4 linked regions of the Neurospora crassa OR74A genome follow. The protein of the gene in region 1 purifies or fractionates together with the protein of each later gene. This does not show direct contact. Links are inferred from orthologs where the notes say so. Each region holds a gene or a part of one and is shown in the gene's direction. Other genes may lie near its edges.

Region 1 (5,472 bases):
GTGCTCACACTTCGGAACGACCCTCTTGCCCAACAGCTTGGACCAGGACACTTTGTTCTGGATAGGGTCGAAGATTGTTTTTCCTTTGCCTTCGTCCTCCATGGCAGTGCTGTTTTCTCCATATGTTGTCGAGTTGGTCTTGTGTTCGACAGCGTTTCCGTCCCATTCTTCGACATTGCCGGCTTCGAAAGCTTGCTTTGGTTGGCTTCCTTTCGCTGTAAATGGTTCGTTTCGCAATGCTGTTTCGGCTGCCGTTACGGGAGAATGGTTGTTTCCATTTATTGGGCCATGTCGTTCGTCTGGGTTGACGGTTGGAGTTGGAGTCTTCGCTTTGATAAAGCCCATGAGTGTACTTTGCGATGGGCCTGGCCCAGTTTTCGAGGATGGCTGCTTGGCGAGGGCAGCCTTGGCTTTCTTCGGTGGCCTGGTATACGGCGCAGGCTGCTCAGCTCGTCGTTTTGGAACGGGGGATGTTTGCGACAACGCTGGGTCGGTTGCAGTTGACTGAGATAACCACTGCCTAGGCGATGATGCGGAGCTGGCGGTCCCCTGTAGTACAGTAGTGGCATTCACCGTGATGGAAGATGTGTTGGGAGAATCGGAAATATCTTGGCTGTCGGCTGCTGGGGTGGCTGACTTGGGCGTGTTGGACGGCGTTTTCTTTTTGACGAACATGTCCTTGATGCTCTGCCGTCGATCAAACTCGGGAATGAGCCTGGCGGAGGTAGGCAGACAATCCTTCTGAGACCATTCACGTTGGCGTTGGCCATTCTTGAACATGCCTTCTGGATTCATTATGTCTGTGATTGGAATGATGACACCATCTCTGCGAACACTGTCGCTAATGGTGGCATAGACGGGGCAGTGGTCTGACCCTAGAAGGCCTTCTTGGATGTTGGCGTCGACAAACCAGTCCTTGATTCCAGAGCTACACAGAACATAATCAATCCGACTACCAAAATTTCCAGGCCTCGCGTTCTTCCTTGTTTCCCAGCACGTGTACATGCCTGGACGCTTTGGATGGAACTCTCTGCAGAGATCCCACAGCACAGGCTTCTCTCGCCCTTCGTCTGGCTCACCAATCACTCGGCCACCGAAAACAATTTGGTTCAAGAACCGGCGCGAAGGGGTCGAGATGAACTGGTCGAGTGTCATGGCCTCCTTTTTCAATTGTTCTGGTAGACCAGCGGTATCCATCTCGTTTCGGATGATGTTGAGGTCGCCGCAGAGAAACACCTCTTTCCCCAAGGAGACAAGGTTACGAACTCTGGCATCCATGGCGTCGATGAAGGCCTGACGGAACTCGATCCTGGTCTCGTCTCGCGTGGCCGGGCTGTATACACCGATAAGAACAAAGGCAGGGAACTCCAAGATGACACACCTTCCTTCGGAGTCAAGTTGAGCTTCGTCTATGTCGCTGGAGAGTTGGCCGGGAGTGGGATAGCCACCAATCTGCTGATCAGCAGGCAAGTCGCGAAACTTTGTGGACGAGTTCGGCGGACACAGAACGCCAGTAATGCCTTCTTCGGCGCGTATCGGGCAACATTTCGAGGAACGAGTGTAGATTGCAACTCCCGAGTAGCCCTTCTTGTACGTGGGTAAGTTGAAGTACACATCCCAGCCAGGGACGAGGACCATGTCGTCTCTCAAATCCTTCCGCTGAATCTTGGTTTCCTGTATGACCACAATGTCGGCGTCCAAGGTGTCGAACATGGCCTTCACTGTGTTAGAGCATCCGGCCAGATAGGGCTTTTGAATAGGGAACTTGATCCCACCTGAAACGTGCGGTTCTCCCGCCATGGCTGGTAACTGAATGGGTTTCTTGAAGCAGGGTCAGAGCTGGTTCATAGGGACGGCTTGTCGTGTTAGGACCGACCTGATACCATTGACTACACATTGGTTTGAGTTAGACCAGGCAAAACGCAGCAAAAACGCGCAAGAGGATCTCACCATTCCACGTCGTGATCCGTAACCCCATTTTCAGATATTCCTTTACTGATGCTAAGGTAGCTCTCTAGATCTACCAGGTTTATAGCACAACAAAGTCACTTCGGTCGCCGGATGCGGCGCTTGTAATTGCAATGGCCACACGAGAAGCAGAGGGACATGGGCTGACGTCTTCGATGTTCGGCTTCGCATGAGCAAGAGCTTCAGGTCTCGGGAACAATTGATCTTTCCCTCACGTCGCTACATCGATCGATATTCCCAGTCTCTTGGAGTTTGCCACACCTTGCGGCAAACGACCAACGATGTCACTAGCTGCCAAGCCATCGCCAAGTAGTTCGCGGCGTCCACAAACGAACGATTGGCTCGTGCGGTTGAATTACGCAGGTGAATTGGGCGGTCCACACACGAAGTCACCTGACAGGCAGCTGCTTTCGTCATTCCGACTGCTCGCGCAACTCAAGCTTTCAACGGGAACGTGCACTTGGCACTGTGGCTTGATTTCGACTGTCTGTGCACTCCAGCCACACCCCATGAGCAGCCGCAACCCACGCACGCACCCGAGGTCGAACTGAGCAATGAGCTGATCGGTCTCTGACCTCACTCAGTTCGCACCCGGAGTCACGAGAAGCCGCCAAGCGCAGGAGGAAAAGAGTGGGGCCAGCTTGCTACAACCTTTGCTGCTGATTCCGCATCCACCTCGTTACCAGTCCTCCTCCGAACCACCTGTAGTCGACCACAACGAATACGGAAACCATGTTCGCCCAACGCCAGATGTTCTTCGCGCGCCTCGCCGCCAACCTTCGCGCCCCCGCGGTCCGCCAGACCGTCCAGCGCCGCTTCGCCAGCACCCCTGCCAACGAGTCCGGCAAGAACGCCTTCGTCCGCGAGCGTGAGGCCGTCAAGCAGCACGCCGCTGAGACCACCGGTGCGCACTAATCCACCACCCGCCCTTGTCAATTGCCGACCCCGATTATCGATGGACGGGAAATGCTAACCGGGAGTCGCCATATAGAGCTCTGGCGCAAGATCTCTCTCTAGTATGCGCATTTCCTCCCACCCCCCAAATCCCCGCTGCGTGGTTTTTCCCGGATGGACCCCTCGGACTCTGAAGGAATTGGAACTTCAGCTAGCTCAAATGAAGCTCCATCGAGCTCCGATCGGAGCCCGCCTTCAACGACGAGCGCATGACACCAACGTCATAGCCGACGTGCACCGCCGAGAAGACGAAGGGGATCAACAGTCAACATCTACGGAATGCTTGATTGAGTGGGGGACAGAAAAGGGGAATGGAACACAATAAGCTAACGAAACTCACCCTTTCTCCCAGCGGCATTCCCCCTGCCCTCGCCCTCGCCGGATACAACGCCTACACCCTCTACAACGAGCACTGGGAGCACTGGTCCCACCTCCCTCCCCTTGAGGAGCGCACCGAGTACCCCTACCAGAACATCCGCACCCGCAACTACCCCTGGGGCGATGGTGACAAGACTCTCTTGTACGTTTAACCCATCCGAAGCTCGCACAACCGGCGGGCATCTCTGCATGGCCTTTCTGAACGAAGGAGCTTTGAGCGTGTCGAGCCCGCCCCATCGAAGGAGCCTCATTCTATGGCAACAACTACTGACCGATACCAACTCTGTTTAGCTGGAACGAGTCTGTCAACTACCACAACCGCGACAAGGTCACGTAAGTGGCTTGTTGATGCGAGCTTCACAAGCACCATCTGTGCTCTTGCTTGCTAGACTGGCATCATCCCTGGATCATTGGAAAGCAAAGAGAATTGGGACAGCTAGCGTGTAGTGAGAGCAGGTGGCATGGGACTGTGAATGAAGTGTGGAAAAGAAAGAACAGGACGAGTGCTAGAGGCACCACCACGTCTACTGATCCGCAATCATCATATCAATTTATTTGTATTCTGATATCAGCCTTTGTAAAGGCTCGCATTGACATCCATATGATCTTATTCTTGATGGAAGCCCATGTGCAGGACGAAAACAGTGTTCTACTGCTATTGCTGGGGATCTCCATGAGACAAAGTGCAGTGAGCCTTCATAGCTTCCTTCCATTTCTACCAGGGGTATAAAGACACAAAACAAGGGGCACACATCCGCGCCATGTTCGATGAAATCAAACATCAACCTCTATGGCCAGCGACAATATTCTCCATTCCTCATCAAGTCATTACAACCGAACTGCTCCATAAAAACGTCCGACCGGAGCTTTACTGAGCCCCACCCAAACCATATTATGGCGTACCTGTATCTGTCGACCATACACTAGAATGCTCGCCCGACGAGCTCTGCCTCTTCAATGCCATATACCGCGCCGCATACTCCTCCGCTCGAGCATGATCCCCCAGCACTTTCATTAGCGTCGCCCTCTTCGCCAACGTCTCGCACTGCTTCTCCAGATCTTCCGCCGCAGAGAAGTGGTTGAACGCACACTCCAGCGCCTCGTGTGCCTTCGTAAAGAGGTCGATTTTTTTGTTGCTCATCAAGCTCGCCGCCGCTCCTGTTGTTTCTCCCGTCGTCGTCATCGCCTGCCTGGCCTTTGCAGCTTTTCCAGCCTGTCCCATCCTGGCATCCGCCAGGATACTATACAGTATGCCTGTGTTGAAAGCATTCTCCGACTCCATCGAGCGCGGCAGCACTGCTTCTACTAGCTGCACAGCGGCAGTGAACTCGCCCATCGCATTCAGTATGTTGGCCAGAGCGCCAACCGCCTGCCAGAGAAGGGTGAGCAGCCGCGCACGCCACGCAAGGCTCGCCGCGCGCATGGTGATTGAGAACCCCCTTTCCGGTCTGCCCATGCAGTCAAAGAGGTGCGCCTTAGCCAGCAGTAGCCGAATACGCAGAGACAAGTCCCGGTGGTCATCACGAAACTTGGCGATCAGCCGCTCGATCTTTTCGTACGCGGCGTCAAAGTCCTTGCGCCGGATCAGTGCCTCGATGTGCAGCGAGTCGATAATGAACACCACATCTGGATCGAGCTCCTCGGAGCCGATCTGCAGCAGCTGCGCGAGCAGCGTCTCGGCCGTGTCGAGGTCGTTGTGGTGCAGGTCGCGCCGCAGCTTGACAAGCCCGCGGTAGAGGTGCCAGTACTGGTTAGGCTTGGCGGCGCGGAGCAAGTTCTTGTCGATGCCGTCCTCGAGCTTGGCGAAGGCTTCGTTGTACTTGCCCTTGCCGGCGAAGGTGCCGGCTAGCCGGCAGACCATCTTGAGCTCGTCGTCGAAGCAAGCGCTTGGGGCGTGGACGCGCAAAAAGACCTCACTGGTCATGGTGGAGAGGTAGGAGATGCCGAGTCGGTCCCAGAGCGAGGTGGTGACGGATAGTTGCGAGCCGATGAGGCTCTTCATGTTTCTTTCGACGATGATATGTGAACTGCGCACGAGGTGTTCCATGGCGCCGGCAATGCTTTCGCCGTTGGCCATGTTGAGCTTGGCTTCGCTAAGGAGGGCGGAACTCCGGAGCACGAGCATGCCGGTTTCTTTGGCTTTCGCTCGGAGGAAGGCGAGAGCTTCCTTAC
Region 2 (4,942 bases), on another chromosome or scaffold:
AATGTGTTAAAGATATAAAAGAGGGAGCGCCGAGATAATCGTGGGATCCGAAGAGGCTACAGAACGTTAGCTTGTGGACTTTGGCGCAATCACGTAAAGAAGCAGGTAAAGGTTGTGGGTCTATATTCCAGCTCTTCTCGTTAAGTCAACCTTGAGTGTGACCAACGTCAAAGTTTAAACTGTTGGACCTTTGGGATGACAGCATGAACCGAGTCTTTGAAAGATTGCCCGGTTCAGTTAGGTTGCAGCAGTTGAGATGGGCAGCAGAGGCAGGGATGAAATGCAAAAGCCAGCAGAGGGCAACACATACGCCAGCGGTGAGCACCGTATACTACAAAGTATATCTGACAAGTACAGGCCAAGCGATAGTCTAGAGATGCCCGGCCTCTCAACTCCTCGTTTTTGATGTCTTGTGAGTGTTTTCAGTGTGTTGTTGAGATGAAGTTGATGACAATTCGAGGTTGAGCCAAGAAACGGGAAACATGCCCGTGAGTGAGGCGGGTAGCTGAGGCCCCTGCGTTCGGTCATTGGTCCACCGAACCGCCGCTAAGCGTTACGAGATCCATGCGTCCCTGGCGTTGAGTGTGAGGTCTGTCTGGGGTGTCTAACGTTTTCACCTTTCATAATATACACCTAGTAAGGCATATCACGTCTCAGGAATCCTATATCGGATGGTTGTGACTTTTCTCTGCCCGAACTGGGAGCCTCAGGAAAAGAGTGGCCATTCCTTCACCATTCCCACGTCCGTCAAAATATCAAATCGGATGTCATCTCGAGTGACAAAAGACAAGTCAAGTTCAAAAAACATGCTCCTATTGTAACAAGTGCCTAAGCGGGGAAGATACACAATGCTCATATCATAATAATACAGTCCCATTTTGGTCATTACCTCCCTTTACCTCCGTAGCCTAGGTATCATGGTCCCCTTTCTGCAGAACCATCTTCGTCTCTTTCCCTTACTGATTGCTCCCGTTTACGCCCTGCCAACGTTCATCAACAGATTTGTCCCCTTGCCACCTCCGGGCAGGTACGCCACGTTGGGGTTGGCAGCCAACACCTGGGCAATCTCCCTCGACGCCTCAATCTTTCTGATCTGGATCAAACCATCGCCAGCCTTGGCAATAGACTTGCTGATGGTCTCTGCACTCTCCGCTTCACCCTCGGCGCGGATGACGTTGGCCTGGCGCTCCTGCTCGGCACGCTCGACGATGAAGCGCGCACGCTCGGCATCCTGCTGCGCAATCTGCTTCTGCTCGACGGCCTTGGTGAACTCCTTGCCAAAGGTCATGTGGGTGATGGAAACATCCTCGAGCGCAATGTTGAACTCGGCGGCGCGCTTGACGAGGTCGGCGCGGATGCGCTGCGAGACGGCCTCACGCTGCGTGATGAGCTCGGCGGCGTCGAACTGGGCGACGATGGACTTGAGTACTTCGTTGCCGATGGAGGGGAGGACACGCTCGTCGTAGTCTGGGCCGAGGTTCTGTGGGGATTCCAGTCAGTTCAAGTTCGTTGTGATCCGTCGTAGCCGTCATAAGGGGCAAGTTCTTGTAAACGCACCTGGTAAATCTTGGGCAGAGCCTGCACCTCAGGACGGTGCAGCACTCTGAGCGTCAAGCTGACCATCTGCAAATCCTTGGAGCCGGTGGTGGTAGGGATGATGCGAGGCTTGGTGCGAACATCGAAGATGATGGCCTTCTGCAGCCATGGGATGAGGAAGTGTGTGCCCTCGTTGACGACCGTGTCCTTCACACCGGCAACTCTGTCGAAAATAACCGCCCGCGAACCACCTCTGACGTCGTAGATGGAGTTCTGGAGAAGAGCCACACCAACAGTTGCCGGGATGGCGAACTTGGTGATCATGTCCAACCCTCTTGCCGCCATTGTGAATATCGGTTTGAATCAAGATTAAGGGATCGAACTCGGTTGATGTGGTGGTGAGGGATCTGACTCGAGAGTATTCGTGGACGTCGTTTCCGGGGATACCTCAAGGTGGGCTGTGGGATTATCACACTACAAACACTACGGCGTGGACCGTGGCGTGGATCGTGGTGGTGGTGGTGGTGCTTCCCCAGTTGCAGCAGTAAGCAGCAGTCGTTGCGATGGATGGAGCTTCTGCAAAAAGTGGAGTGCCATGTCCCGTCGCCCGGACCAGGCCCAGCTCTCTCAAGCTCCCCGCATGGCCCGGGGATGTCTTTCAGTGCTTGCGTATGGTGATTCAATACCTATCCTAATGGTCCGTGCACCTTGTTTTGTTCAACAGACGGGCAGGTCGGAAGGAGGCTGAAAGAGAATGATGCTGTAAAGGTACTTGTAGCTTGTACCTTTCCATGCTAATCCCTTTTGAGCCTCCAGCACTCGGGTTTCTGACGGGACTGCCAGTGACGGCTCCATGGCACTTGGCAAATGAAGTGCCAGCCACTCACTGTCGACCGATTTCAGTTCGAACTTCGTCAAACCCGGTTCAACGCCGCGCGAAGCTCTTCCCGAACCTTTACGACGACTGCGTCCTCACCACGACCCGATTGATACCCCCCATAGCGCGTTTCGCGACAACACATATTTCAAGATGCGTCCTACTCAGACCATGCTCGGTGGCGGCGGCGGTGCCCCCATCGGCAAGCACAACCAGTCAGTCTTCCCACTTGTGATTTGGAAGAGCCCGGAACTTCATGGCACAAGCTACCGGCGATGCGCCCTTTTCCCTTTGCGCCGGCTCCCCCTCCGATCCAGCTCTGGATGTTAGCTAACGTGCATGTTGATATAGCTACCTTGGTGGCTGGGGTAACTTTGGTGAGTAGGAACCTTTGCAATTGACGATGCACCGATACCAAACATACGGCAATTCTTCAACAACGGGAAATACCGGGATGGGAGGGAATGCGAATATGAGGGCACGACAGATGGTCGAGCCAGAAGACGAAGAACCTTGATGACCGCCCGCCCACTCGCCCGCACGCCGAACCCTTGACGAACCGATGAGACGACCCCCGAGACAGAACAAGACCATCTAACCCATGTTGTTTTTCTTCCCGACGAACAGGTGGCATGAAGCAGAGGGGCATCATCTCCTACGGTATCAGCCCTAACCGCCAGAACCCCCTCGCCGGCACTGCCCACGACGCCGTTTTCAACACCTTCAGACGTGTCAGCTCCCAGTTCCTCTACTGGGCCCCCTCCCTTGTTGCCGGCTACTACATCATGAACTGGGCTATCGAGCGGTACGTTGCATCACCACCACCCACAGCCCCGAGGGATTTCGATCACGGGGTGGCAAAGGAGGGACCGTTGTTGTCGTCGTTCAAGAGAGTGCCACATTCTAACAGGGCATTCTGCTGGTTAGGAACCACTACCTCAACTCGAAGGCCGGTCGTGCTGAGTTCGCTGGCCAGGAGGAGTAAGCGATGGACTTTACGATACTTGGGCACGGAACCAGAGTGCAGTTCCCGAGAGAGAGAACTAGTACTCAATAGACTAACCTGTATATCACCATCTTTATTCCCACGCGGTTCGAATTGGAGTTGGCATAGACAAGACATGGACCTCTCTTATGGGTATCGGCATGTGCTGGTTTTGGATCTCATACGACACCTGAAACACCACCACCAAGTCGTTTCTTGTTTACATTCGGCTCGACAGATCGCATGTGATTTCCAGCCTTGTCACGATCCTAATCTATCCACGCATCATCCGGACATTCCCTTGGTTAGCTCCAGTTCTCTTGTCTTTGGGTACAATCATTGTGCATCTTGCCGGTCCGCAGGCCAGTCTTTTCGGCGCTTGGTGCTCGTTGGCTGCACTAGATCTTGCGAGGAGAACCATGAGGTAGCGAGCCGGTTCCTTTCATGGAGTTTGATTTTCTTTCTCGCCTCTGGAAGCATGTCAGACGCTGGAAGGCTGAAAACTGTAGCGGCGCCCGGCCTTATGACGTATCACCACGCCTGTGAAGCCGAACGTCCTAGTTCATATACCGTTCCTCTCCCGGGACAAGCTAACCAGCCCTGCTCAGCATTCTCACCTCCATGAATAGGACTGTGAATACTTCACCTTCAAACTCATCATCGTAGATGCCGATACCTATCCAAGGTAAACAATGACGGGAGGTAGGTATGTTCGAAGCCATTTTATATTCAAATTCAAAACTAAACAATGGCACTGCACTAAGCCCCAACTTCCAGACCGCATTTCCAGGGCAACATTCCAAAGTAGGCATAAGTACATGTTAGTTCTCAACTACTATTGGTATGGTGCCTAGTCATGTCATTAGCTGCAGTGCATTTTCCAGAAACGCTCGTGGAAGAAAGAGCAGATCGGTGAAGAAATCCGGCCATACATCCATCAGCCCAACCAACGCAACATTCAGGGGTAATGAATGAAAAGAAACCAAACAAATGCAGGAACGGGTGGCCCAAAAGCGCAAAACGAACCCCCCCCCCCCCCCCCTCCCCCCCCCCCTTTTTCTTTTTTTTTTCCTACAACCTCGGTTGGTATATTCTATGATTTAATGATAGTCTTTTTTTCCTTTCGCTTGAGTTGCATTGGGCTGTCAGGGTCTCGCCATTTGTTCGCTTTTGCAAAGAGATCATAGAAGTATTTTTATGACGGGGTTGATTACATGGAGCATGGGTTATGTGTTGAAGAGATGGAAAAGACGAACATGTGAAATTGTGTTCCGTGTTATTAATTTTGCACAGACCATTCCAAGCTATATAACATATATATTGTCGAGAGACTGAATGATAATGAGGATACAAACACCCAGAACAAAATTGGTTCACATTTAATCAATTGGCGTCGCTAATCCCCCTCCAAACAAAAAGAGATCCAACCAAGGAGGTCCCATGTTGTGTCGGCGCTGATGTTGAGTGGTTAGGTCAGTTTGTCGCCTGCAGTGTTGTTGTTGTTGACTGACAGCAGCAGCTCGCGCTGTGAATTGTGGATGTGG
Region 3 (5,965 bases), on another chromosome or scaffold:
GCAGGTGCCACGGGTTCTAGACAATGTTACATGCTGGAAGAGTTGCGGTCGATGCCACCCAAGAGTCTGGGGTAAAATGTAGGTACCTTCCTGTCCAAACCAGAAGAGAGACCTGACATCAGGTACTTACTTGGTTGTCTTTCGAGGTCCGACAGCCTTTCTTCGTCTCGGCTTTACGCTTTTGGCTGTCTGGGGTTTCACCTCTCCAGTTCTGGTGATGGTTTCTACCAGTAGGTCCTTGACGAACTTGTGTCCTACCCATCTGCCAAGTGCCAAGACTCATTATTGCCCTCCTGAGGTTGTTTGAAGGTCGTTCATCATGTCGCCCTATACAACACATTGCAGTGTACTACCAAAAGTTCCAAGTACGACATGAACCCTCTCCTGGGTTTGCACCTTCTTCGGATAGATGAAGATGAGGGAGTATCATCGACCCAAACCTTGATCACGGGGCCTCGCAACATTGGCTGATTGCTCCTTCCCTCGGTGCCCAAATTGGTAGGATGGCCATCGTTCATGACTCTCATTGGTGTTCGGGTTCCAATGTGACTGACCATTTCCAGTCAGTGAGGACCTCAGCTGCAGAGATTGCTCAGCCTTTTGGAGTCTGATTCCTCCCTCTTGCAGTAACCCTGTCGCCTGAAAAGTCCGGGGATGATCTCCAGCGCCATGCACCCATTTCGAAGATGTCGCCCTCTCCCCTTCAAACACTCGGTTACACGAGACTATTCCGTCCAGTAGACGCTACAATTTGGGATGATTGGCCATCGGTTTGTGTCAGCCATTGCTCCTTTCATAAGCAAGGAAATCGGCGGCCTGTTGAATCAACTCATTTTCCAGTGCATCGTCGGTTCTTCATCATGATGAATGCTTTAACGGGCAAGGTGACCCCGAGACACTGACAATGAGCCAAGTACCGAGAGGCAGTCTTGCCATTGACATAATCCTCAAAACGAAAAGCCGTTTAAAAGCGAGTCCTCGGACAGGGTGAAGACCCCGAGCCATTTGCGCCCCAGCCGCGGAACCAACTCCGCCCGAGGAGATCTACTCAGATTACCCCGGACTGATCAGCCTTGGTTTATTGGGTACCATTCAGAATGTATGCCTAAAGACAAAGCAGGAGCCCGATCCTATGGTCGGGTGGCTAGAACAGAGGTAGGTATGGTTCGTGGAATATTCCAAGACTTAAGCCCCTGTCTCACCATTCCATATCGCATGTTTCTCGACACCCACCTCATCCTCATCCAGTCAGGGGTATGCAAGCCATCCAGCACCATCGCCGGTTTTAGTATCGACCACGTGAGTGACATCCAAGACCCTGAAAACCGCTCAACTGAAGCAAACGACAGTAACTGCATGACGGGCTCCCCGCATACCCCAGTTGCCCAACTTCCAAAATGGGAAACAAAAAACGGGGTGCATCGTCTGTGCCTCAACAGGGCGAGAACCATGGGACAGGACTCTGGGGTTTGGGGATGGTGGTGTTCGGGAGGTGGGAATTTTCCGCCACTAGGAGGTGGTATCATGTAGGTAAGAATCTTACTTAGTGGGTAGGAGGCAGAGAGAGGAGTACGTAGCTGTAGGGCGTGGTCATGTGCTTAACAAGACGTCCTGTGTGTTTCCATGTCTTGAGCCTCCATGTTGAACAAGGTAAAATACGAGTGTTGTGTAAGCTCCCAGGCGTCCCAAACTCCGAACCCGACTCTCATATGCGAAATTTCACTGCCATGCATGCCTCCACCTCTTCCACAACCACCCAGCCCCTACAACTTCAGATACCACTTTCCTTTCTGCTCCTCCTTCTCAAGGAGCGGGTGGAGGTGAGAGGGGAGGGAGTTGACAAAGGACCGGTGGCGGTTACCGGCTGTGGTGAAGAAGCTGTGGATCGTTTGTTGTGTTGTGTTCTCGTTCGTGAGTTAGTTGGATAAGATAACTTGCACACTTCCGGAATGGTGCCGCTCCAACTTGCACAGGGCGCCGATCCGGGGATCCACTATCGGACACGGAAGCCGGATTGGGCCCGGTAGTTTGAAGCTGGAAAGCCCGAGTTCCGTTTGACGGGGTGGAGCATTGTCGATGTTTGATTGGGGCTTGGAGGGTTAGGGTCACGCCAGTCAAACCTGCAATAGCTTCATCAAGACCTTCTTCCTTCTGCTCCCAGTTAGCTCAATCATTATATAATCTATGCCGTACCCAAGTCAATTGAAACCTAGGATTGCTTCACACAGTCTCTTGCCATGTATTCATCACGCAATTGTCGCTTCACTTCATGGTACAGTACTGATGATATGAGCGGTCCCACGTGCTGCATCACCTGACCGTGCGCTAGCTGCTTCTGGCAACCAGCTGGGGAAGCTTTCCAGAATGTGGTCCAAGCGCCTCCATTCGTACCAAACAACCGCCCGTTCGCCAGTTGCCAGCGGCAGAAGGGAAGGGCAGCACGGTCGGGGCCTCTGTCCACTGCAGTGGTGCCCAGCTCAGCTGTGGGACCCACGGCAGTGTGGGCAAACCAGCTTCGGATTCGGACAGACAGCGACAAAACATCATCTCCCGCCTCTCCGCTCTCTCCCGGTCAATTCTGTCACTCCGACATCACACCATCCACCACCACCCACCCGCCGCCGTCGCCAACATGCTCCTGTCCCGCACCGCCGTCGCCGTCGCCCGCCGGGCCACCGCTGCCCCCGCTCTCCGTCGCAGCATCGCCACCACCGTTGTGCGCTGTAAGTGAACATTGGAAACGTCTCTTGGTTTTTAGCGGCTGCGGCCTGAAAAAAAGCACGGCATCCAAAAAAGCTCCAATCGCGAAGCTGCAAATATCCGCGCATAAGCATCATCACCACCACCACCACCAACGACGACGACATCATGACCCCACCACCACCTCGAACCAATTCGCGACAACCAAACGCGCATCAATCACAAACCCCCGAATCCCGATCGCAAAACTGACACCATGTTTTTATCTTGATTCCAGGCAACGCCGAGACCAAGCCTGTCCCCCACATCAAGCGTCTCTCCGGTATGATGATCTCCCCCCGCCGGCGATTGCGTCACCATTGTGTCTATTGGGGTTGCTGGAGAACTGGGCTACGCGAACTGGAAGCTGTGGTGGGTCTTTCGAAGCTCGAGCTGAGCTTAGTCAAGCTTGGGGGAGCTTGATGAAACAACAAGAAGAAGGAGGAGGAAAGCATTGGACGACCACAAAAAGGAGGGGGTTATTATCATTGCGCGGACGAACCGGAGAAGAAGCTCCTCGACCAGCTCAAGCTTGAGGCTCCCCTATCTACCACAGCTTCCACCGGCCGGGTAGCTCAGTTCAGCCCAGCTTCCCTATAGCCTCCACTCGCTCCATGACGATGCGGGGTGACGGACGAAACCGCATACGACGAAAAAACATACATGACTGACATATATACCTTTCGCGACAAACAGAGATCAAGACCAAGGATGACCTCTTCGGCCCCGGTGCCGCCCCCGGCACTGTCCCCACCGATCTCGAGCAGGCCACCGGTCTCGAGCGTCTCGAAATTCTCGGCAAGATGGAGGGCGTCGACGTTTTCGACATGAAGCCCCTTGATGCCTCCCGCAGGGGTAAGACTTGCTGTAATAACCTGGGTTGAGAGGAGCTGGGGGGTTGACAGTTGAAAAATAGGCACCATGGAGAACCCCATCTCCGTCCGCTCCGCCGGTGATGAGCAGTACGCCGGTTGCACTGGCTTCCCTGCCGACTCCCACAACGTCATCTGGCTCACCGTGAGTTTTTTCTCTTCTCTGTTTCTTCTACCGCTCAAATTGAGTATTCTAACCAAAAAATAGATGACCCGCGAGCGCCCCGTCGAGCGCTGCCCCGAGTGCGGCAACGTCTACAAGATGGACTACGTCGGTCCCCAGGACGACCACGCCCACGACCACGGCCACGACCACCACGGCTTCGAGGAGCCCAAGACCTTTGCCGACTACGTCAAGCCCGAGTACTGGTAAATTACCCAGTTGTGGGGTTTGCAAAGGGAGGTTTGAGGTTTTTGTGTAGTGGGTTGTTAATAGAAGAAGACATTGACAAATACGATGCATGCATATGACACAAGTTTACTGGGAGGCAAGCACTGTGAATGCGAACCTGGAGAACACGGGGGTGATGATGAGGCTGGGTAGGTGGTTGTTACCTCATTGGACTTGCATTCGGGAACCTAGAGCTGTAGATTTCTACCTAGAACCCTGGGGCCAAATAAATACTGAACATGGAATTGTATATACCATCGAGAAGCTCGAAAGAGGTTGGATTGGCGTGACAGTATCTAGATTCAGGATTGCTACTAGGGCTGTTTGCTCAGAGTGCATTCGCAGAATCATCTAGACTCGACCTTCTCTGCGGTACCGAGCAACAAGACTCGAGACCATCCAAGATAGCTTCTTCTGCCTGGCACTGAGTCAGAGCACCGCAGGATCGGGAACGACGTTCTGGCACAGCTCCCTATTGCTTTTCTCCGGACAGCTCTTGGGTAGTACTCCAGGCATAACGGCATAGACAAACTCGGACTTTGCATCCCTCGTCATCCGCAAGCTTGTCACCAGGTCGCGCATCTTGCGCCCTTCCACTTGCTATTGGGACATGCGCCGGCCGACGTGGTTGTTAGCCTTGAACACACACCTTCCTCTCGGCATGCCCCCCTTTTTTTTCTCCCGTCGGTGTTTATGTACTTCCAGCGCCCAAGCCCGATAACGACGGCATCTCAACCCTCCTCATCACCATCACCAAAGCTAAGCTTGATTTTCTTAGCCTTCTTCATGGCCGTCTTGGGCTTTGGTTTCTCCCCTGCCTGTTCCGTTTTTCCGCTTTGGTCTTTGGCATCTGTACCCTCAGCCTTTGCCTTTGGCTCCTTAGCATCCCCATCTTGCTCTTGATCAGAGTCATCATCGCCAGCAATGACCTTCCCTACCTTTCTCTTCTTCTTACTCGCTCCTATTCCCACTCCTTTCTCCTCCTTTGCCATCTTGTTATTCCCTTCTTTACTCCCCTCCCCATGTTTGTTTCTGTCCCCCCCTTCCCCTTCTCTCCCTTCTTGTTTTCCCTCCCCATCTTTCCCATCTTTTCCCCCCTCCCCCTCTTTCCCATCTTTTCCCCCCTCCCCCTCTTCCCCCTCTTGTCCCTGTCCCTCCCCCTCTGTGGTCCCCTCACCCTCCACCTTCGAACCAGACTCCATCACCCTCCCATCCTTCCCCACAGACACTCCATCAACCACATTCCCCTGTTCGTCCAAAACAAGCGGCGCGTCCTCCGCCTCCTCACTTCCACTCCTCGCTTTCTTCGTCGGTCGTCTCCGCGCAGCCAGGATCGGATCGGGACCGTCAAAGTTCCCGGGGGCATGTTGAGCATGCAACCGAGCGAGAAAGGGAGGGAGGGTAGCGGAGCGGTCGTAGTGGAGGTTTTTGGGGTTGAATTTCCCTCCTCCTGCGGAGCCGCCTCCGGAGCCACTGCCGGGACCAGCAGACATGTTGCGTTGAGGAGCGTATGTAGGTGTTGTTGAATGGGTTGGTGGGTGGTTGGTTGGATGCTTGAGTAGGTAGGTAGGTACCCAGGTACAGGCCAGGTAAGGTAGGGTTTGGTGATGATGGTCTGTCTGCTCGGGTAGGGAGCAACTCGATGGCCTTCTCGTAAAGCTAAGTAAATCGTTGTGGCTTCTTCGAGGAGATGGATGGATGTTTGCGCGTGGATGCGCCAGGTGGTTGTCGCGTTGCGATAGGTACTGTTCGATGGATGGATGGAAGTGGGCGCGCGCTACACTGTAGTTCAGTAGTAGAAGCGGTCGATGGGTTCCGGTTCTTAGTAGCTGAGTGCGGTACTAGGCTAGCGTCGCACAAAACCAGATCGAGGAGATCAATACCTTGGTATGATACCAAAAATCGGATAGTAGTTTGAATGGAGGGAAATTATTTTGGATTGTCGATGGTCACAGGGAGCCTG
Region 4 (5,685 bases), on another chromosome or scaffold:
GTGGGGTTTTGGACGTCCGGAACGGTGTCCATTATCGATATGAGCACCCTGGAACCGATACACGGCGAATCACTCCGCCGCAGCGCAGACGATGCTTCCATACCGCGTGATCTCGTCTTGGCCAAGGTGCTTCCCAATGCGCCTGGAATGACCTTGTTCATTGCCATGGAGGATGGAAATGTAGTCACGTTCAACATTGGCGAAGACCTGACCTTTTCTGGACGGAAGAGTGTCATCCTTGGTACCAGGGAGGCGCGCTTCCATTTACTGCCACAGCAGGATGGGATCTACAGCATCTTCGCGACGACTGAGCACCCCAGTCTTATCTACGGCTCAGAAGGGCGGATTATCTACTCGGCTGTGACGGCTGAGGACGCTACCTGTGTCTGTCCCTTTGACTCTGAGGCTTTCCCAGGGGCTGTCATTTTGTCTACCGAGAACGAGATCAGGATTTCCGAGATTGACACAGCCAGACAGACGCACGTGCGATCTTTGGAATTGGGAGAGATGGTGCGTAGAATCGCCTACTCGCCTAGTGAAAAGGGTTTCGGACTCGGATGTATCAGGAGAGAGGTAGTCAATGGCGAGGAGATCATTCACAGCTCTTTTAAGCTGGTTGATGAGATCTTATTTGCGAGGGTTGGCAAGGAGTTCATGCTCGGAACATCGTCGTACTCCGAACTAGTGGAGGACGTCATCCGAGCAGAGCTGCCTGACTCTTATGGAAATCTTGTGGAGAGGTTTATCGTCGGTACAAGCTTCCTGGAGGATCCTGACCGTGGCGCTGGTACGGACAAGCGCGGTAGGATCTTGGTGTTCGGGATCGACAGCAACCGGGATCCGTACTTGGTCCTCAAGCACGAGCTGAAAGGCGGCTGTCGCGCTCTGGCGGTCATGGGCAGCAAAATCGTGGCTGCACTCCACAAGACAGTGGTTATCAGCCAGTACGAGGAAACGTCAAGCACTGAGGCCCATCTCGTCAAGCTCGCGTCTTATCGGTGCACAACTTATCCGGTCGACATCGCGGTGCATGGCAACATGATTGCTGTTGCTGATATGATGAAGTCGGCTACACTGGTCGAGTACGTCCCGGCCAAAACCGGAGGGGAGAAGTCCGAAGCCCCCAAGTTGGTAGAGTGCGCGAGACACAGGCATTCTGCGTGGGCAACGGCCGTGGCTCACGTTGAGGGCGAGTCTTGGCTTGAAGCTGATGCCAATGGCAATCTGATCGTGCTTCAACGCAATGCTGAGGGCGTGACAGTGGAGGACCAGCGGCAACTGAGGATAACAAGCGAGCTCAACCTGGGAGAACAGGTGAACAAAATACGCCCGATCAAGGTCGAGACTAGCCCGAACGCCATCATCATTCCTCGAGCGTTCTTGGCCACGGTAAGTTGCCTGTTTCTCAGATTGATCATGTCACAAGGTCAAGGCTAACAATTGACTTGATAAAACAGGCGGAAGGCGGTATTTACATGTTTGGTACGATTGCGCGCGAACAAGACCTCTTACTTCGGTTCCAGGATAAACTGGCGGCGGTGATCAAGACAGTTGGCGAACTCGATTTCAACTCCTACAGGGCATTCCGCAATGCGGAAAGGGGGCCCGAGGCAGATGGAACGACTGGGCCGGTCAGGTTCCTGGATGGGGAGTTGCTGGAGAGGTTTTTGGATGTGGATGAGAAGACGCAGAAGGAGATCTGCGAAGGTCTTGGGCCGAGCGTTGAGCAGATGCGCAATATGGTAGAGGAGCTACGGAGGATGCACTGAGCCAACGGTTAGACACTTAACGTGCATGATTGGATGTCTACAAGTCATCGCTTTGGCTGCTGAAGATTTTGGCAGTTGCAAGTGTTGTCAATAAGTGCTGTGCTCAAAACATGGCTGCATAGGGTGAGAGAAGATGAGTCTGTGAATAGCCTCAGATGAACGAATGAATTATGTATGATCAATAGATCAATTGACATCACTGTCTTGGCACCCTTGGCTCGCCGAGTCGCTGACAGTTCAAGTTGTCCGGGCGCTGCGGTGACGCGCTGAGGTGAGCCCCACCACCACCATCACCACCACCAACAGGACGAACCAGGCGACGGAAGAAACCGGAGAGTGGACGAACAGGCAGTCACAGCCAATCAGGGCCGGCGCATTAAGTAGCTCTCTAGCTGCTGGGCGGACGCTGTGGTTGGTTAGTGCCTCAGGCCACAAGCCAGTAGCTATGGCGGTTTCCCATGCCGGGAAAGGTGGGAACCAAGCTCGGCCCAGAAAAACCTCAGTCCGTGATTTTGGCCTCGTCGTCTCGACCGCATTACGCAGCCGTCAATTCCGTCTCCGGAACACCGCCCACGTCCACCGTCCTCCCGCGACTCCGAAAGAGCAGAACCTCGCTCGATCTCCCCGCTCTCGCAACCCCCTCTCTCCGCTCCGACCTCTGTCCACGCGAGTAATTCTACCGACACAATGGCGCCCGTCTCGATCGTTTCCCGCGCCGCCATGCGCGCCGCTGCCGCCCCCGCCCGGGCCGTTCGCGCTCTCACCACCTCGACTGCCCTCCAGGGTTCCTCGTCCTCCACCTTCGAGAGCCCCTTCAAGGGCGAGAGCAAGGCCGCCAAGGTCCCCGACTTCGGCAAATACATGAGCAAGGCGCCCCCCAGCACCAACATGCTCTTCTCCTACTTCATGGTCGGCACCATGGGCGCCATCACCGCCGCCGGCGCCAAGTCCACCATCCAGGGTGAGTCTTGACTTGATGGGATTTGAGGAGGAAGCTTCACACATTCCTCGAGGTTGGGGAAAACAAAGAGGTGGCATAGGACAGATGGGTTCGGGTCAATGGGATTCGACAAGGGGGTTCTGTTATGGTGGGGCGAGCTATCTACGGTTCCGTCTCATCGATCACCAATTTGCGACCACTATGACAACTTTCGATATCGGGGCGGATATGGTTGGACCTTGGGGCGATGTTGAAGCATGGATACATGGGGAAAATGCCATCTTGCACATGCACCCACGAACACCCAAGAACTAAAGACAGCTGACGAGGCGACCGTGTTATACAGAGTTCCTCAAGAACATGTCGGCTTCCGCTGATGTCTTGGCCATGGCCAAGGTTGAGGTTGACCTCAACGCCATCCCCGAGGGCAAGAACGTAAGGATCCCTACGAAACCGGATTAGCAAAGGCTTGGGCTGAGCTGAGCTGGGCACATCGATTCCCGACGACGATCAAACCATGATGGAATGCTGACCCCGGTCTTTTCCTACTTTTACAGGTCATCATCAAGTGGCGTGGCAAGCCCGTCTTCATCCGTCACCGTACCCCTGCGGAGATCGAAGAGGCCAACAAGGTCAACGTTGCCACCCTCCGTGACCCCGAGACCGACGCCGACCGTGTCAAGAAGCCCGAGTGGCTCGTCATGCTTGGTACGCCCCTCCATGTCCCTCTTTGCGATCCGAACAAGACGAAGGATAGCATTTTTGGATGCTCAGATCCTGGATACACGACGATGTGGGGAGACTGACATTTGGTGTGTGAACAAAACAGGCGTCTGCACCCACTTGGGTTGCGTTCCCATCGGCGAGGCCGGTGACTACGGTGGCTGGTTCTGCCCTTGCCACGGTTCTCACTACGATATCTCTGGCCGTATCAGGAAAGGACCTGCCCCTCTGAACCTCGAGATCCCTCTCTACGAGTTCCCTGAGGAGGGCAAGCTTGTCATTGGTTAAGCGAGCAAAAAGACAAAACTTTCCGATTGAACAAACAAGACACAATTTTTAACCAAACCTACTAGGGAATCCTCTCGATATTCCCTTGTCCACTTTTTTTTTCCCTTGCTGCCCGAGAGACGATGACAGGGAGAATTGTATTAGTACGGGGGTATTGCGACAAAGGGCTTGAGTGGAAGCATGTCATAGACCATAAAACGGGATTTTTGTTTTCCGTGGTTCTTGACGCGGTTTCGTACGACTATCCTATAGACAGAAGACACACATACGCATACACAACAGCAAATCAGGTGTCACGGTCGATCATATGCGCTCGAGAGTCGGAAACTTCTATATACTCAGAACTGCGTTCTTCACCTACGCAACCCTACATACCTATTATTGGTGCTGAGCTTGGCGCTAGGTTGCTGCTGAGTGTTGTACCCTTGCGTTTTCCTATAGACTGGCTTTGTAGAAAATCCTATTGTATGAGAGGCTCACTGGAGCATGGTACCGTGAGAAGGTCTTCCTCGACCCATGGCAGTCGGCTGTGGCTAAGAGCTTTGTGAGGAAACCATAGGTCAGCTGATGAACCTCCCAATGCTAACGCATCTGATCATCCAACACGGCATTGGTAAATACAAATGGCCTTTTATGCGGGTGTGGGACAGACAGGCTACATGTCGAATTGCTGGAGAGCAGCTCGACCAGAATTACAGATGTTGACAACTTAATCTTAGCTTGGCCAACCTTGCGAATCAAGCCCAGTCGGTATACCCGCCCGTGCTACTCTGGTAGCTGAGTTAAGGAAACGCCCGCGAACCGGTAGCTTACCCTGGTTGTTTCATTGACGTCTGAGGAATTCTCCGAACGTAATTATATCTGAAGCCCGCCTTAACATCTTGTGCGCTACTCAAGCCGACACATAGTTAGTGCACTACCTCCAACCATAGCCCCTTGCCAATGCTGGCCGGGTGGGTTGCAGTCTCATTGCAGGGGCTAGGTTGTACCCCCATGCGCTCCCCCTTGCTCTGAGTCTTTTTCCCCCACAAACAAAACAACCTCATCTTTTGAACTTCGCCTTCCCGGGCGCGTCTTGACACAGCTTTCTCACTTCTTCACCAAATTCTCGAAACCCCTCACCCTTGCGGCTCAAAGGGGCTGCTCCTAGGGTCATGTAACAAGCGAAGTTCCATCGTTCGTCTGATCTGACTTGCCGACTACCCGAGGCACCATGGCGGCCACGATTCACCCACCACGACTGGACAAAGTTGTTCTCGAACATAAATTATGGCAGGCGCCACGGTCATTGACGGCGACCGAGATCGAGGCATGCCGATGCCACCGAAAGCGAGAAGTGAGGGGTGGGTGAACGTCGCAGTCAATCAAGCGCTTATGGAGTCTCATCTTATATGAACGGATCACCAAGTCGAATGTTTACTTTACCACTTGGGCTGGGAGGCTTTGACTGTCACTGAGCTGCCTGCCTTTCGACATTGCCCTCTGTTACGATCATGTCCGGGCCCGTGCCACATTCGAGATCGTCAACATAGGGCAGAGGGGAGACCATGGACTTGTATCAGTGAACATAGGTGCATGCTCAAAGTACGGCGGCACATCATTCAAAATATCGGCTTTCGAGCATATCTCAAGTGAGGATGTTTCAAACAACAACCCGATGATACCGAGCACCATCACATGTTTACTCGCACCGGCTTTACGGGAGGCATTCCGTAGCCAAGCGGCCATCACTCCTTTTCCACCTTCCATCATCAGTTTCCCCAGCGGTGAATCTTCCATCCTTCATCTTGAACAGGTTACATCCTCGTATTTCCCCTATCTCGACGATATGTCGTTGGTGACAAGGGGCCCAGGCGAAAGCCGCCCGGTACTACGGTACTAGAGGGGCAACTTATACATACACATGCCCACTTCGCTTGTACCTCAGACATGTGAGCTTGGTTGGCTCGCTACACGGAAGAAACA

Evidence for each region. The genes of interacting proteins can lie anywhere in the genome.
Region 2: the proteins of eat-5 (region 1) and qcr8 purify together in Saccharomyces cerevisiae (affinity purification with mass spectrometry; 3 studies listed by BioGRID, with this or other methods). This does not show direct contact. The link is inferred for Neurospora crassa OR74A from reciprocal best matches to the Saccharomyces cerevisiae genes COX13 and QCR8.
Region 3: the proteins of eat-5 (region 1) and cox-4 purify together in Saccharomyces cerevisiae (affinity purification with western blotting; 6 studies listed by BioGRID, with this or other methods). This does not show direct contact. The link is inferred for Neurospora crassa OR74A from reciprocal best matches to the Saccharomyces cerevisiae genes COX13 and COX4.
Region 4: the proteins of eat-5 (region 1) and fes-1 purify together in Saccharomyces cerevisiae (affinity purification with mass spectrometry; 3 studies listed by BioGRID, with this or other methods). This does not show direct contact. The link is inferred for Neurospora crassa OR74A from reciprocal best matches to the Saccharomyces cerevisiae genes COX13 and RIP1.

What each region holds. Positions count from the first base shown.
Region 1 is NC_026501.1:1,849,805-1,855,276, reverse strand, and holds eat-5 (encodes anonymous transcript-5 protein), read left to right. Parts: upstream 1-2,504; 5' UTR 2,505-2,700; coding exon 2,701-2,872; exon of another isoform or gene 2,873-2,934; coding exon of another isoform or gene 2,935-2,959; coding exon 2,960-2,984; intron 2,985-3,274; coding exon 3,275-3,442; intron 3,443-3,591; coding exon 3,592-3,637; 3' UTR 3,638-4,192; downstream 4,193-5,472. Other genes in the region: NCU01961 (DNA lyase Apn2), read right to left, coding at 1-1,716, 1,776-1,821, 1,877-1,889, 1,951-1,978; eat-6 (anaphase-promoting complex subunit Apc5), read right to left, coding at 4,193-5,472. UniProt on the Saccharomyces cerevisiae protein: Component of the cytochrome c oxidase, the last enzyme in the mitochondrial electron transport chain which drives oxidative phosphorylation.
Region 2 is NC_026505.1:5,787,036-5,791,977, forward strand, and holds qcr8 (ubiquinol-cytochrome-c reductase chain VIII), read left to right. Parts: upstream 1-2,466; 5' UTR 2,467-2,566; coding exon 2,567-2,628; intron 2,629-2,764; coding exon 2,765-2,790; intron 2,791-3,040; coding exon 3,041-3,218; intron 3,219-3,340; coding exon 3,341-3,398; 3' UTR 3,399-3,705; downstream 3,706-4,942. Other genes in the region: NCU08946 (hypothetical protein), read right to left, coding at 974-1,480, 1,558-1,881. UniProt on the Saccharomyces cerevisiae protein: Component of the ubiquinol-cytochrome c oxidoreductase, a multisubunit transmembrane complex that is part of the mitochondrial electron transport chain which drives oxidative phosphorylation.
Region 3 is NC_026503.1:513,521-519,485, reverse strand, and holds cox-4 (cytochrome c oxidase polypeptide IV), read left to right. Parts: upstream 1-2,428; 5' UTR 2,429-2,632; coding exon 2,633-2,723; intron 2,724-2,977; coding exon 2,978-3,022; intron 3,023-3,435; coding exon 3,436-3,594; intron 3,595-3,655; coding exon 3,656-3,756; intron 3,757-3,819; coding exon 3,820-3,984; 3' UTR 3,985-4,733; coding exon of another isoform or gene 4,734-5,495; 3' UTR 5,496-5,689; downstream 5,690-5,965. Other genes in the region: NCU16615 (hypothetical protein), read right to left, coding at 1,131-1,451; NCU05688 (hypothetical protein), read right to left, coding at 4,734-5,495. UniProt on the Saccharomyces cerevisiae protein: Component of the cytochrome c oxidase, the last enzyme in the mitochondrial electron transport chain which drives oxidative phosphorylation.
Region 4 is NC_026504.1:1,784,157-1,789,841, forward strand, and holds fes-1 (ubiquinol-cytochrome c reductase iron-sulfur subunit), read left to right. Parts: upstream 1-2,249; 5' UTR 2,250-2,456; coding exon 2,457-2,730; intron 2,731-3,055; coding exon 3,056-3,144; intron 3,145-3,266; coding exon 3,267-3,417; intron 3,418-3,538; coding exon 3,539-3,720; 3' UTR 3,721-4,448; downstream 4,449-5,685. Other genes in the region: dim-8 (DNA damage-binding protein 1), read left to right, coding at 1-1,389, 1,458-1,769. UniProt on the Saccharomyces cerevisiae protein: Component of the ubiquinol-cytochrome c oxidoreductase, a multisubunit transmembrane complex that is part of the mitochondrial electron transport chain which drives oxidative phosphorylation.